Linked DNA regions of Cricetulus griseus. The protein of the gene in region 1 purifies or fractionates together with the protein of each later gene. This does not show direct contact. Links are inferred from orthologs where the notes say so. Each region holds a gene or a part of one and is shown on either strand. Other genes may lie near its edges. The genes, in order: Lmna, Kpna6 and Hnrnpm.

Region 1 (3,893 bases):
AAAAGCAAGCATGGCAGGGGTGCCTGGGAGAATCCACTGACCCCAGGCTAGGGAGGGGCAGGAAGAGTATAAGGCAGGCAGAGGAGGCTCAGCCAAGTGCAGTGGAACCAGGAGGGGCTTGACCTCTCTCAGCCATCCCCTCTGCACCCCCTTTCTCTGCAGCCGGCGTGGCAGTGGGCCAGCTGTCTGGAGGAGGCTGATGAAGAGAACTCCACGCCTGCCTCTCAGGCACCATGTCACAGGGTGCTGGGATAAGCGCAAGGCCAAGGCAGCAGGACAAAAACTAGCCGTTATAAAAGCAGTCCTTTCCCTGGGCTCCTTGGAGAAAGAAGCCCATTGATTTTAAGGCAGATACAGGGAAAGTATGGGAAGGACTTAGGATTGAGATAGAGACTTTTTTTTTTGCTTGTGTTTTTCCTTCAGTATAAAACCACTGTAGAAAATAACTTCTCTTAGAAAAAAAAATAGAAGAAGAAGAAAAAAAACCCAAAGGCAGGAAATAAATTTTTTCTTTGGCTTCAGGCCTGCTCCCATTAGGTGCAGAGCAGGAGGTGGGCATGAGGTGAGGTGGGAGCAGGTGGCCTCTGGCCCCACCCCTGCCTGGCAGGTCCCAGATTACATGATGCTGCAGTTCTGGGAGCTCTAAGAGAGAAGAGAATGCAGAGATGTGAGCGAGCACAGTGGCTGGCCCATCCTTTCCCTCCCTGACCCCAAAGGGGTGTGTGTCCCCCCAACCCTCACCCTCTGGCTCTGGCCCTGCCCTCAAGTCTGGGGTTCAGACAGGAGGGGCAGGGTGTAAGAGGGGCTACAAGGAGGAGGGTCCCACTCCCGTGGCCTGCCCTGCCCTGCTGCTTAGTGAGCAGTGTCCTGCTGTAGGGGTAGATGCAGATCGATGATGACTTACCTGGGTCCGGGGACTGGAGTTGCCCAGGAGGTAGGAGCGGGTGACTAGGCTGTCCCCGAAGCTGCCACCCCCACTGCCCCCCACACTGCGGTAGCTTCGAGTGACTGTGACACTGGAGGCAGAAGAGCCAGAGGAGATGGATCCGCCCACCTGGGCTCCTGAGCCACTGGCAGCCTTGTCGGCAGGCTGCCCACAAGTCCCACACAGCACGGTGCGTGAGCGCAGGTTGTACTCAGCGGGGTCCCCCGAGCTGCTGCAGTGGGAGCCCTGGGAAGGGAGACAAGGCTCAGGAGGGACAGTGCGTCTGGGACTGACTGCTTAGGACCAGGCTCTGGGCTCCTATAGTTTCCTGGCCATTGGGCAGGAAGATGACCTCTGTACCCAGACAGCTGGAGTGAATAGGGACTTGGGAGGCCTGTGGCTAGGAGGAAGGACATGACAGGGGAAAATGGCCAGGAAGGCTTCGAGATGGAGAGGTGTGGCTTTCACACTGTCCTGAATCCTAGGATCTCACAGGGAAATTGGGAGGGAGATCAGAGATGGAGATATTTAATTTGTGAGGGAGGGGACAGGAATGAGAGAAATCACTGTTGCCGGGAAATAAGGGGAACGTGAGAAGAAGCATGCAGCAGATGAAGAAGAGACAGCAGAGGAATGCATGCAGGGAGGGGAGAGGCAGGGCTGGGGCCATCTCTGTCCTCCCATCCCCTTCCCAGGAGACAAATCCAGATCCTTGTCCACTGCCACCGTGGAACAGTCCTTGGCACCAGAAAGTTCCCACTCCCTTCCTTACCAGACACCTGGGTTCCCTGTTCAAGGTAGAGGGAGGAGAGAGAAGAAAGGCCAGGGCAGCAAGTGGCATTCCAAAACATTCTTTAATGAAAAGACCTTTGGCATAGAGGTGGGGGAGCTGCCCTAGGCTGGTAGGGCTACCCATGTGGGCTGGGTCTCAGCGGCGGCCGCCACTCACGTGGTGGTGATGGAGCAGTTCATCTCCATCCTCATCCTCATCGTCCTCAACCATGGTCACTGAGCGCACCAGCTTGCGCATGGCCACTTCCTATGGGAACATAGGCCCAGGCCCAAGAGTCAGGGGGTGGGGGCCATGCAGCCTGTCTACCCATAGTACCTTCCCAGAACCCTCTATAACCACCTAGAACCTTCCCAGGCTCTGCCCTAACCGGCTGTTTGCTCTGACCTCTAACACTGGAGTCAAGGAGTGTGCTTGTGCACACATATAGAAAGGACACCCCTGGGAGATCAGCTCTCTTTAGGCCGAGTCTGCAGCTAACAACATTCACTGGCTGATTTCCACCCATTACCCTGCTGGGGAGACTTCTAGCTTGCTTACTGGGTGGGCACTTGGAACGTGATTCAAGGTTGCATTGGGTTGAGGGCAGCTGACTCTCATTATGGCCACCAGGGGGAGCCTGGTCCAGGCTGCAACATACTCACTTCTCCAGTGGAGTTGATGAGAGCTGTACGAAGGCTGTTCCCACAGCCCCAGGTGTTCTGTGCCTTCCACACCAAGTCAGTAGGGGGGCTATGGGTGGCCCCAGCTCCTGCAGCCCAGATCTGGGAAAAGACAGTTTAAGAAGTGTGTTTATTCTTAACGCTCCTGTCCAGAGGCCAACTTCTCCACTCCAGAATCCCAAACACCCTTCCACTCACCGTCACCACCTGCCCAGCCTTTAGAGTGAACTTTGGTGGGAAGCGATATGTCATCAAGGGGTCATCACCATTCTGACGCTTGATCTGCCAGTTTCCCATGGACTGGTCCTGCCAGTGAGGGAGGGAGGAGAACGGGAGACTCAACCCGGTACTTTTTTTTTTTTCTATTTTTTCATTTAAATTAGAAACAAGCTTGTTTTACATGTCAATCCCAGTTCCTTCTAACTCCCCTGCCCCCCACTAACTCCCTAACCCATCCCCTTTCTGCTCCCCGGGGAGGATGAGGCCTTCCATGGGGGGGGGGGGAGAATCTTCAAAGTCTGTCTTCAACCTGGTACTTATCTCACAAAAGAGCCGGGGTAGGCCAGATGCCATAGTGTACACCTGTAGTCCCAGCTACTACAGATTTTGGTACTGAGGCATGGGGACAGGGGGAATAGCTTGATCCAAAAAATAAAAAATAAAAAATAACAACAACAACAAAAACCAGGTCTGCCACCACCATCTCTGGTATTCAAACCTACTAGCCTCTCTACCCTATCCCTCAAGGGTCCTACTGTGGCTGTGTGAACATGTATACTGTGCCACACACACTGGTATCTTCCATCTTCCCAACAATTTTAGAGATGTAGGGACTGTCACACTCCAAATTCCCAGAGAGATGGATGCTCCATGAGAACCAATGTCGCCCAGCTATTGAATGCAAGACTCTGATCCTGAGGCCCACCTCGTTGGACTTGTTGCGCAGCCGCACAAACTTTCCCTCCTCATCTACTTCCTCCACAGCCACCCGCCCGCTAGTGCGAGCGTGCTGTGAGAAGCTGCTCCGGCTCTCAGTGGACTCCAGCTTGCGCTTTTTGGTGACGCTGCCCCCACCCTGCGATTGGGATGAGTGAGAAGAGGTGCGGCCACGGCTGCGCTGCGAGGTAGGGCTGGGGGACAGGCGTAGCCTGGGAAGGTGGAGACAAGGTGGGGGGTTAGTCATGGTAGTTGCAGTCCAGAGGCTCCTGCCAACGTCTTTCGACCCCTCCTGGCTCACCTCTCCTCCTCGCCCTCCAGCAGCTTTCTATAGGCATGGATCTCCATGTCCAGGGCCAGCTTGATGTCCAGCAACTCCTGATACTCATCGAGCTGCTGCTGCATCCTCGCCCGCATCTCGGCCATCTCTCGCTCTTTTTCAGCCAGCAGCCGCCGGCTAGTATCCCGCTCTCGAGCCAGGGAGTCCTCCAGGTCACGCAGCTTTGCCTCCTTGGCTGCCAACTGGGATGGGTGGGAAAGGCAAGGTGTGATGAGCGCCCAAGGGCCAAAAGTAATGAAG
Region 2 (4,306 bases), on another chromosome or scaffold:
CCAGGGCCCAGCTCTGGTGGGTCATCAGGCTTGTGCAGTAAGTACTTTTACCTGCTGCCATTTCTCTGGTACTTAATGTCTATGGTTTTAAAGCAGATGGGGCGGGGGGGGGGGGACAATTGGGCCTGGAGATGTGTGAGGTAAGGAGTCAAGTTAGCATGATACATTTTACTTGAGTATTTCTTTTCCTCCTGTTGAGTTTTTTCCCTTCATTGGCCAGGCATTTGGGTAGACTTGGCAATTTGTGATAGGCCCTAAGGTCCAGATACAAGAGTCTTCTTTCTCCTTACAAAAGATGGAGACTAAAGATTGGCCATAACCCCAGCTCTGTGTGTGGCACTAGGTATCAGCCCAGCATTCCTTGATTCAGAAGGCAAAAGCTTTAATTTCCTCATCGCTAGGAAAGGGAGCTCACTAACTTGTGAATTTCTTTTTTCTTTATTCATTCAGTAGTCATAACCCAGGTGGTGGCCATGGTGTTAAGCAATACAGAACTGACCCTTACTCTAACTCGTGAGGTTAGTGTACTCTGCCAAACACACACACACACACACACACACACACCCTCTCGCTGGAGAATCTTTTAAACTCCTCTTGGTGCGATAGTGCACACCTGTGAGCTCAACACTGGGAGGTGGAAGCAGGAGATCTGGAGTTCAAAGTCATCCTTATCTACTTATCAGAGGACAGCCTGGGACACCCCCAACCCTGTCTCACACAAACAAAATAAAATAAAGGTCTGGAGCCTTTCATCCCAGTGCTTGAGAGGCACAGGTAGGTGACTCTGAGTCTGCTGTCTGCCTGGTCTATAGAGAGGTACAGGTCACCCAGAGGCATATAGTGAAACCCTGTCTCCAGTGAACAAAAATGAGAAACAAACTCCAGTCTAATCTTGACTCCTTTTCCTTATCTCCATAGCCTTGAACAAGTCACTTCCCCTCTCTAGACGATCCTTATTCAGTTCTATATGGCCTTAATTATAAAAAGAAGGGGTGTCTTTCTGGGAAAGGAGGCCTCACCATAAAGAAGAAATAAAAACAGGAAAAGTTGAGAACTTGGTACATTGTTCAGTATATATTCTTTGTAGTCCCCTTAAGCCTGTCTATTCCTTCCCTGATTGACACCTGGAGTGGCTGCCTTCTGGGGCCTTATTTTAGGTTTTTTGTTTTTTTGTTGTTTGTTTTTTTTCCTTGGTTTTTCGAGACAGGATTTCTCTGTCTTTGGAGGCTGTCCTGGAACTCTCTATAGACAAGGCTGGCCTCGAATTCACAGAGATCCACCTGCCTCTGCCTCCCGAGTGCTGGGATTAAACCACCAACGCCCAGCTGCCTTCTTCTTTAAACGCCTGCTCACCCTGTCATCTCCAGGAGGGAAAGGGGCGTGAGGGTTGAGAACGCGTTTAGTACGGTATAAAATGTTTGTCCCTGTCAGGCCGCCGTCCTGCAGGTCCGCCATATTGTCTGCCGAAGCTGCCGCTGAAGCCACAGCTGCGGCCGCCGCCAAGTCTGAGCGAGCGGAGCCGCGATGGGTGAGTGAGGCAGCTCGCAGATGGGTGCTCGGGCTGAGGTCTTGGGGATCGGGGTCTGCGAGGGCCTGTCTCTCGTCTGAAGGAGATGTCGGAAGCGTCCCGATAGGTACGGGAGGAGAAATCGGGTCGGGAGTGCCCCTCAGGCCAGTGCAGGGCCGGCGCAGGGCCGCACGGGGAGCCGCTCCCGGGGCTGGTTCCGGATGCCCGGCGCCCCCGGTGTCCCCACGTGGTGGCCTCGGGCCCGAGCTCGCGCGTCCGCGGGGGAAGGCAGGGCCCTGCCCTCGCCCTGCGCCAGCCTGCCTGCCTGCCTGCCTGCCTGCCGGGGAGCTGGGAGCGGGCTCGGGCGGCAGGCCCGGCCGCCGCCACGGGGAGCCCGTCCCCGCGGGCACTGGGCCGACGCGCTCCGGAGCGAGGTGAAGCCCTACCTGCCCACGTAGCGGGGAGAGCCCCTGGAGAGGAGGCGCGGGGCAGGCCGGCTCCCGACCGGTAACCAAGGGCAGGCCGGGTCCAGCGCAGCCCGGGCCTTGGAAGGCCGGGAAAATGCCCCAGTTCGGCTTGCCTCGGTGACAGGCTTCGTAGTGTTTAGAGAGCCCAACGCCAAGACTTCTTGGCATAGGCAGGCCAGAGATTGGAGGTTTCTGGACCAACTCTGGTTGGTTAGCAGGAAAAGAGAGACCTGTTGATCTTTTTTTAAAAAAGAGGACTCTGGATACGAAGGCCCCTGCCCAAAAGAGTACGATGGTGAAGTCTTTGAATTCAGAAACAAAACCAGCACTGGTAATTTATTGCCATCAGTAAAGTAAGAACTTTGCTAATCTGTATGTGCAGACATTGTTGTCAGCGCTTAATGTGTCTTGTTTAGCCTAATTCCAACCTAGTGGAGTGGTTGCTGTTGTTGTTCCTATTTTACAGATGGGGACACTGAGGCTTAGAGTGGTAAAGTAACTTATCCAAGGTCACACAGTGATTAAAACAGGGTGATCACTCCTGAGCTCTAGGATTTAACTGCTTTTTATGCTTTGGCCCCCTAGTGGTGGGCTGAAGGAAGGAAGGGACCGTTTTAACCCTACATAAAGTTGTGAAGGTATTTTGTTAGGGGTCCAGTTTGAAACCTTTAGTCTGAATGAAACTCAAAGGGTTCAGGGTGAATTGCTGACCCCCACCAACTTTAAGAGAAGCACCTCAATGCACTTCTGAAATTTCTTATGATTCCTGATCCTAAGGGAACACAAATTATTTTCCCTGCCTGTGATTTTCAAATCTGAACTGGCCTGACACTTCTCACACCTCATCCTCTTACTTAATTTACAAACAGAATTGCATAGAGAAGGTGTCTAGCACAGTGTACAACAGAACAGTATCCCTCCGTTTCTGAGCTTTCTCATCTCTAGAAAGGGAGTGTGCAGAGCCTAGCCAGCTCTATAAATAACGTGGCATTCTTCCCCACCTTCAGTAATAGCCGTTCTTTCCCCTCCAGAACCTTGTAGAAAGTTTAAGAAAGATCTAGGAGCAACTGGAGCCCTGGAAGGCAAGAGGTAATCTAGATTCATTTTTACAGATTGAGAACAATCTCAAAGAAGATAACATAGCTAATAAACAGCCTCCAGGAATGAGATTCTTCCACATTTTACTGCATATCAGCCTCTAAAATTTAAGGTGGAGCCGGGAGGTGGTAGCACACACTGTCACTTCAGAGGCAGGAGGATCTCTGAGTTCAAGGCCAGCCTGGTCTACAGAGTGAGTTCCAGGACAGCCAGGGCTACATAGAGAAACCCTGTATTGAGAAAAACAAAAGGGGGGGGGTGTTAAGTGAGGTATCTTTTTTTTTTTTTTTTTTTTCTTGTTAGAATGTGAAAGTTCTTCAGCACAAGAGCAAGACCTGACCAAAGTCCCAGAAAGAATTTTTAGTATATCAAGCCAGGTGACTTCCCGCTTAACTTCAGTGATCAAACTAAAGTAAGGATATATTTAATCACAGTGTGTAATCCTAGGTAGTTTGGGTAATCTCCATTACAACAGTGAATTGGTGCTTTGAGAAGATTAGGTAACTAGTGCAAGGCTAGTAATCGAGGCCCATTGGGTACTGGTTATCATATAGCCGGTCTTTACCCAGAGTCTGCTCTTTTGCCTCTTTACATATACTCTCCCAGGGCCTATATGTTATACTTCACTACTCACTTAATAGACCTTTGTTAGTGATTCCACTGTCTGTGTTGGTGAGGAAACTATAGATGTTCCTTTGCTCTTGATTTCTAGCAAAGACCTCAACCATTTGAATTCTAGTGGGTGCTGGCTATCTAATCACCATTCCCACCATCCTGCTAACGGGAATTTGTCATTCTCTTCCAAAATCCAGGGTGGATCTTGATTAATATAAACTCTCAACAGGTCTTTGTAGTTCTGTTGTCCTAGGCAGTGGTTGATTAGGCTGCTTAGATGTGAAGGGAAGTATGGGGAACTTGTGGAAGAAACTTTCTTATTTAAAGCTGCCTTTCTGGCTTTTTAAAGATTATTTGCTACCAGAAGTTGATGGTACACACTTTAATACCATTACTTGGGAGGCAGGGGCAATCAGATCTCTGTGAGTTTGAGGACAGTCTGTCTGGTCTACAGAATGAGTTGCCAGGACTATTTCACAAAGAAACTCTGTCTCGAAAAATAAACAAACAAAAAGATTTACCAGTTTACTAGTTTACTAGTTTTACCAAAGTGAGAGTTTCAGACAAGACAGCTGGAGGAAAGCTATGATAGAAATAGCTGATGCATCTATATGATCAG
Region 3 (3,644 bases), on another chromosome or scaffold:
TGTCACAGTACAACTGCCTCTTTATTGTTGTGTATGTGGTATATACCTGTGTGTGCACAGTTATGCAAAGATATTCATGCTAGTGGTGCATGTTGAGAGTCTTCCTCTATCACTCTCCACCTTAGTTTTTGAGATGGGTGTTCTCACTGAACTTGGGGCTCACTGTTGAAACTAGACTGGTAGGCCAGTGAACGCCAGAGATTTTCATTTCCCATTCCCTTCAGCACTGTGACACAAGCATGCTGCAGGACCCCAGCTTTTATGTGGATGGCTGAGGATGGGTACTAAGGCTTGCTCACTTTACCCACTGAGCCATCTCCCTATCCCTCTTTGAATTTTGTAAAATGAGTTTATTACTCATCTTTCTTTATCAAATCCAAACCAAGTTTCTTTTGTTGTTTTTGTTTGTTTTGTGGTTCCAAAGATTGAACCCAGAGCTTTTTGCATACTAGGCAAGCTTTCTGTCACTGAACTATGTTCCTGACTTCCAGTACTTTTTTATTCTCTAGGGTGATGTTTTGTTAATGCTACTGCCAATATTACTTACCTCATTGACTATGTATGTGTTGGGGGAGGGGAGCGGTATAGGTGTCTTGAGAACATATCTGTTCTGTGTAGGCCAGGCTAGCTTATAACCAGATCATCTGCCTTTAACTGCCTGAGTTCTGAGATTAAAAGCAGGTGCCACCCTTCCTGACCTTTTCTTTTTAGAAGGAAGACAACTTATTTGGGACTTAAAGGAATGCATGGTGGGGTATACGGCATTTCTTATGTGTTGCTAGTTAATTGATGAAGCAGGGTTCAGGAATTATGTCGGGCTGGAAAGATGGTTTTTAGTGGGTTAGGAACCCTTGCTGCTTTCCCAGAGAGTCTGCATTTGATTCCCAGCACCAAGTACAAATGCTCACAACCACCTGTGTAACTCTAACTCCAAGGAATATGGTGCCTCTTCTGTCTTGTCTTAGCATGTCCACACATACATGTGCCATATACCCCTATAAGGACACATAGACACAAATAAGATAATCACTCCAGCATCAGATTTCCGTAATTTTGTACAGGTGCCAATACACTGTATTAACTATACTTGAACGCCACCACCAGGTGCCCTTGAGAGGTTTTGGGAAACCTGGGATTATAGAACTGTGATTTCAAACTTTTTGAAAAATCATTGAGTTTAACACAAATTACACTAGGACTCATCCATGCCTGAAGATCTTTTTTCAATCTGGAATTTTCAACTCAGGCCAGCCAAACCTTTCATTTCCCCTAGCTTTTCATTTTCGTTAAATTGAAGATTGTTTTCAGCTTTTGATCTTTATGTTCTTTGTTTCTGAGCTGTTGCTCTTCCTACAACTCTTGGGTTGCTATGATTTATTTCACCTTGTTAATCTTGGTTGGTCTTTGCACGTTTTCTGTTGGCTTGTTTTGTTTTTATTCAGTGTTGGAAATGGAAGCGCCTGGTACAGACTTTACCGCTTGATAAGCTCTGCCACTAAGTTGTATCATCTGACTTTAAGAAGACAGACTTATTGAGTTCACTGCCAGAGGCATCAGACTGGACTGTAACAGAGTCCCACCTGAAGTTTTGTTTTTTTTTTGTTTTTTGTTTTTTGTTTTTTTTTTTTTTTTTTTTTTTTTTTTTTTTTTCCTCTTTTATTTTGAGACAAGGATTCACTTAGCTTGCCTAAGCTGGCTTTGAGTTGGATCTGTAGCTCAAGCAGGCCTTGAACTGCTTTAACAATCCTGAGTGTTGAGGTTACAGATTTTTTTTCCAGCACTGCTACCATGGTTTCACTGAGAGTCCTTTTAAAATTTTATTTTTGTAAATTATTGATGCTGGGGGTTGCACTTGTAAATACTATGGGAACACTATTGTCACTGAATGTACCCCAGCAGAAAAGAGCCTCTGCAGTGGTGAAGGCTGCAGTTCCAACTAGTCTCTGCAAGCCTACTTCTAACCAACTTCTGGCTGTAACATTTTGTGCTTCTTTCAGGATCCTGATGGTGAACATGCAAGGAGAGCAATGCAAAAGGTGATGGCTACGACTGGTGGGATGGGTATGGGACCAGGTGGCCCAGGAATGATTAATATCCCACCCAGTATCCTAAATAATCCTAACATCCCAAATGAGATTATCCATGCATTACAGGCTGGAAGACTTGGAAGCACAGTATTTGTAGCAAATGTAAGTAAATGGGAACATTCTCTAAAATAGAAAAAAAAAAAAAATGGGAGGGTGGAAATAATGTGAAAACAGTATGCATAGAGGGAAAAAAGTTTTAAAATAGACAACTTTTTAGACTGATCTTGTCTCTATTATACAAGTGATTTAAAGTAGTAGTAAGCTTAAGATAGCTTGTTTTTATTTTAAAGTAGGCCTTTGGGTTGGGCTTTGTTCTCTTCTGACTACTGCAATTTTAGCTTCAGGATTGACCTCAGTCCTACTGGGGTCTTGTTTACTGAGCTTTTCAGATGTTTGAAAAAGTACTAGCTGGGTTTGCAGCCTTATTGGGGTTTATGTAGTGTAGTTTTGGTACAGGGTAAGAGTGAACAGTTTATTCCCAGCTGTTTGTTGTGTCTGGGGTGAATGATGATATCTTTATCTTCTGCAAGGACAAATACTTTCAGAACAAAGTGGTTTCAGAAGTGTTGCTAAGACTTAAAAGGGGTGGGGTGGCTTTTTTTTTTTTTTCTTTTATTTGTTGTATTTAGAGACAGAGTGTCTCTAGGTAGCTCTGGCTGTCCTGGAACTCACCCTGTAGACCTGCCTCTACCTCCTGAGTGCTAGGATTAAAAGTGTGTGCTCCCCACTGCCTGGCTGACTTTTTTTTTTTTTTTTATGGATGTGGAGTGTTAGTTTCGTAAATATGAGGAGACTTAAGCTGTACCGTTTAAGACAGATAGTAAATAGCAGGGTTAAGGGCAGGCTCTGCAATCATACTTGAAAATTCTACTAAAGTTGATTTTTCTTGTGAAGTAAGCCAAAGCAAGACTTGTTAATATGATAAAAACACATCTCCCCCCCACACCCCCAAAAGGCTTACCTTGAGGTTTTACTCTCTTCTTTCACCTAGCTGGATTATAAAGTTGGCTGGAAGAAACTGAAGGAAGTATTTAGTATGGCTGGTGTGGTGGTCCGAGCAGACATTCTGGAAGATAAAGATGGGAAAAGTCGTGGAATAGGCACTGTGACTTTCGAACAGTCCATTGAAGCTGTCCAAGCTATATGTATCCTTCTGTGGGAGTTAAGCTCATGGCAAACATAGTCCTAAGTATATTATAGTAATAAGGTAGAAATAACTGTATTTTCTCTGTGACTAGAGTGAATAAATTATTAAAGAATCTGAACATTTTATGGAGTGAAACAGAATGGATAGACGGTGTGGCTGCATCATAGACAGATGCTGTGAATGGTCTTTTCTGGTGTTTTTAGAGGAGTTTAGGAAATGGATCACTTACAAGAACTGGGGCTTTTAATTTATCCCTTATGGACTCTTTGTGTCTTATGAGTAGACATGGTTTGAGGAGGCCCCATCTCCTTGCCTTAAGCTTGCCCTGGGTTTTCATCTTTTTAAAATCACAGTGTGTGACACATGACTATAGGAATTAAACTCAGAAGACCATTCCCGGTGCCTTACCC

What was found.
Region 2: the proteins of Lmna (region 1) and Kpna6 purify together in Homo sapiens (affinity purification with mass spectrometry; 4 studies listed by BioGRID and IntAct, with this or other methods). This does not show direct contact. The link is inferred for Cricetulus griseus from reciprocal best matches to the Homo sapiens genes LMNA and KPNA6.
Region 3: the proteins of Lmna (region 1) and Hnrnpm fractionate together in Homo sapiens (co-fractionation; 3 studies listed by BioGRID, with this or other methods). This does not show direct contact. The link is inferred for Cricetulus griseus from reciprocal best matches to the Homo sapiens genes LMNA and HNRNPM.

Annotation. Positions count from the first base shown.
Region 1 is NW_023276806.1:66,025,726-66,029,618, reverse strand, and holds the end of Lmna (lamin), read right to left. Parts: intron 3,836-3,893; coding exon 3,615-3,835; intron 3,526-3,614; coding exon 3,303-3,525; intron 2,684-3,302; coding exon 2,576-2,683; intron 2,480-2,575; coding exon 2,360-2,479; intron 1,965-2,359; coding exon 1,875-1,964; intron 1,172-1,874; coding exon 905-1,171; intron 643-904; coding exon 616-642; downstream 1-615.
Region 2 is NC_048595.1:23,349,038-23,353,343, forward strand, and holds the start of Kpna6 (importin subunit alpha-7), read left to right. Parts: upstream 1-1,399; 5' UTR 1,400-1,414; coding exon 1,415-1,634; intron 1,635-4,306. UniProt on the Homo sapiens protein: Functions in nuclear protein import as an adapter protein for nuclear receptor KPNB1. Binds specifically and directly to substrates containing either a simple or bipartite NLS motif.
Region 3 is NC_048598.1:95,296,832-95,300,475, forward strand, and holds part of Hnrnpm (heterogeneous nuclear ribonucleoprotein M), read left to right. Parts: intron 1-1,997; coding exon 1,998-2,189; intron 2,190-3,078; coding exon 3,079-3,232; intron 3,233-3,644. UniProt on the Homo sapiens protein: Pre-mRNA binding protein in vivo, binds avidly to poly(G) and poly(U) RNA homopolymers in vitro. Involved in splicing.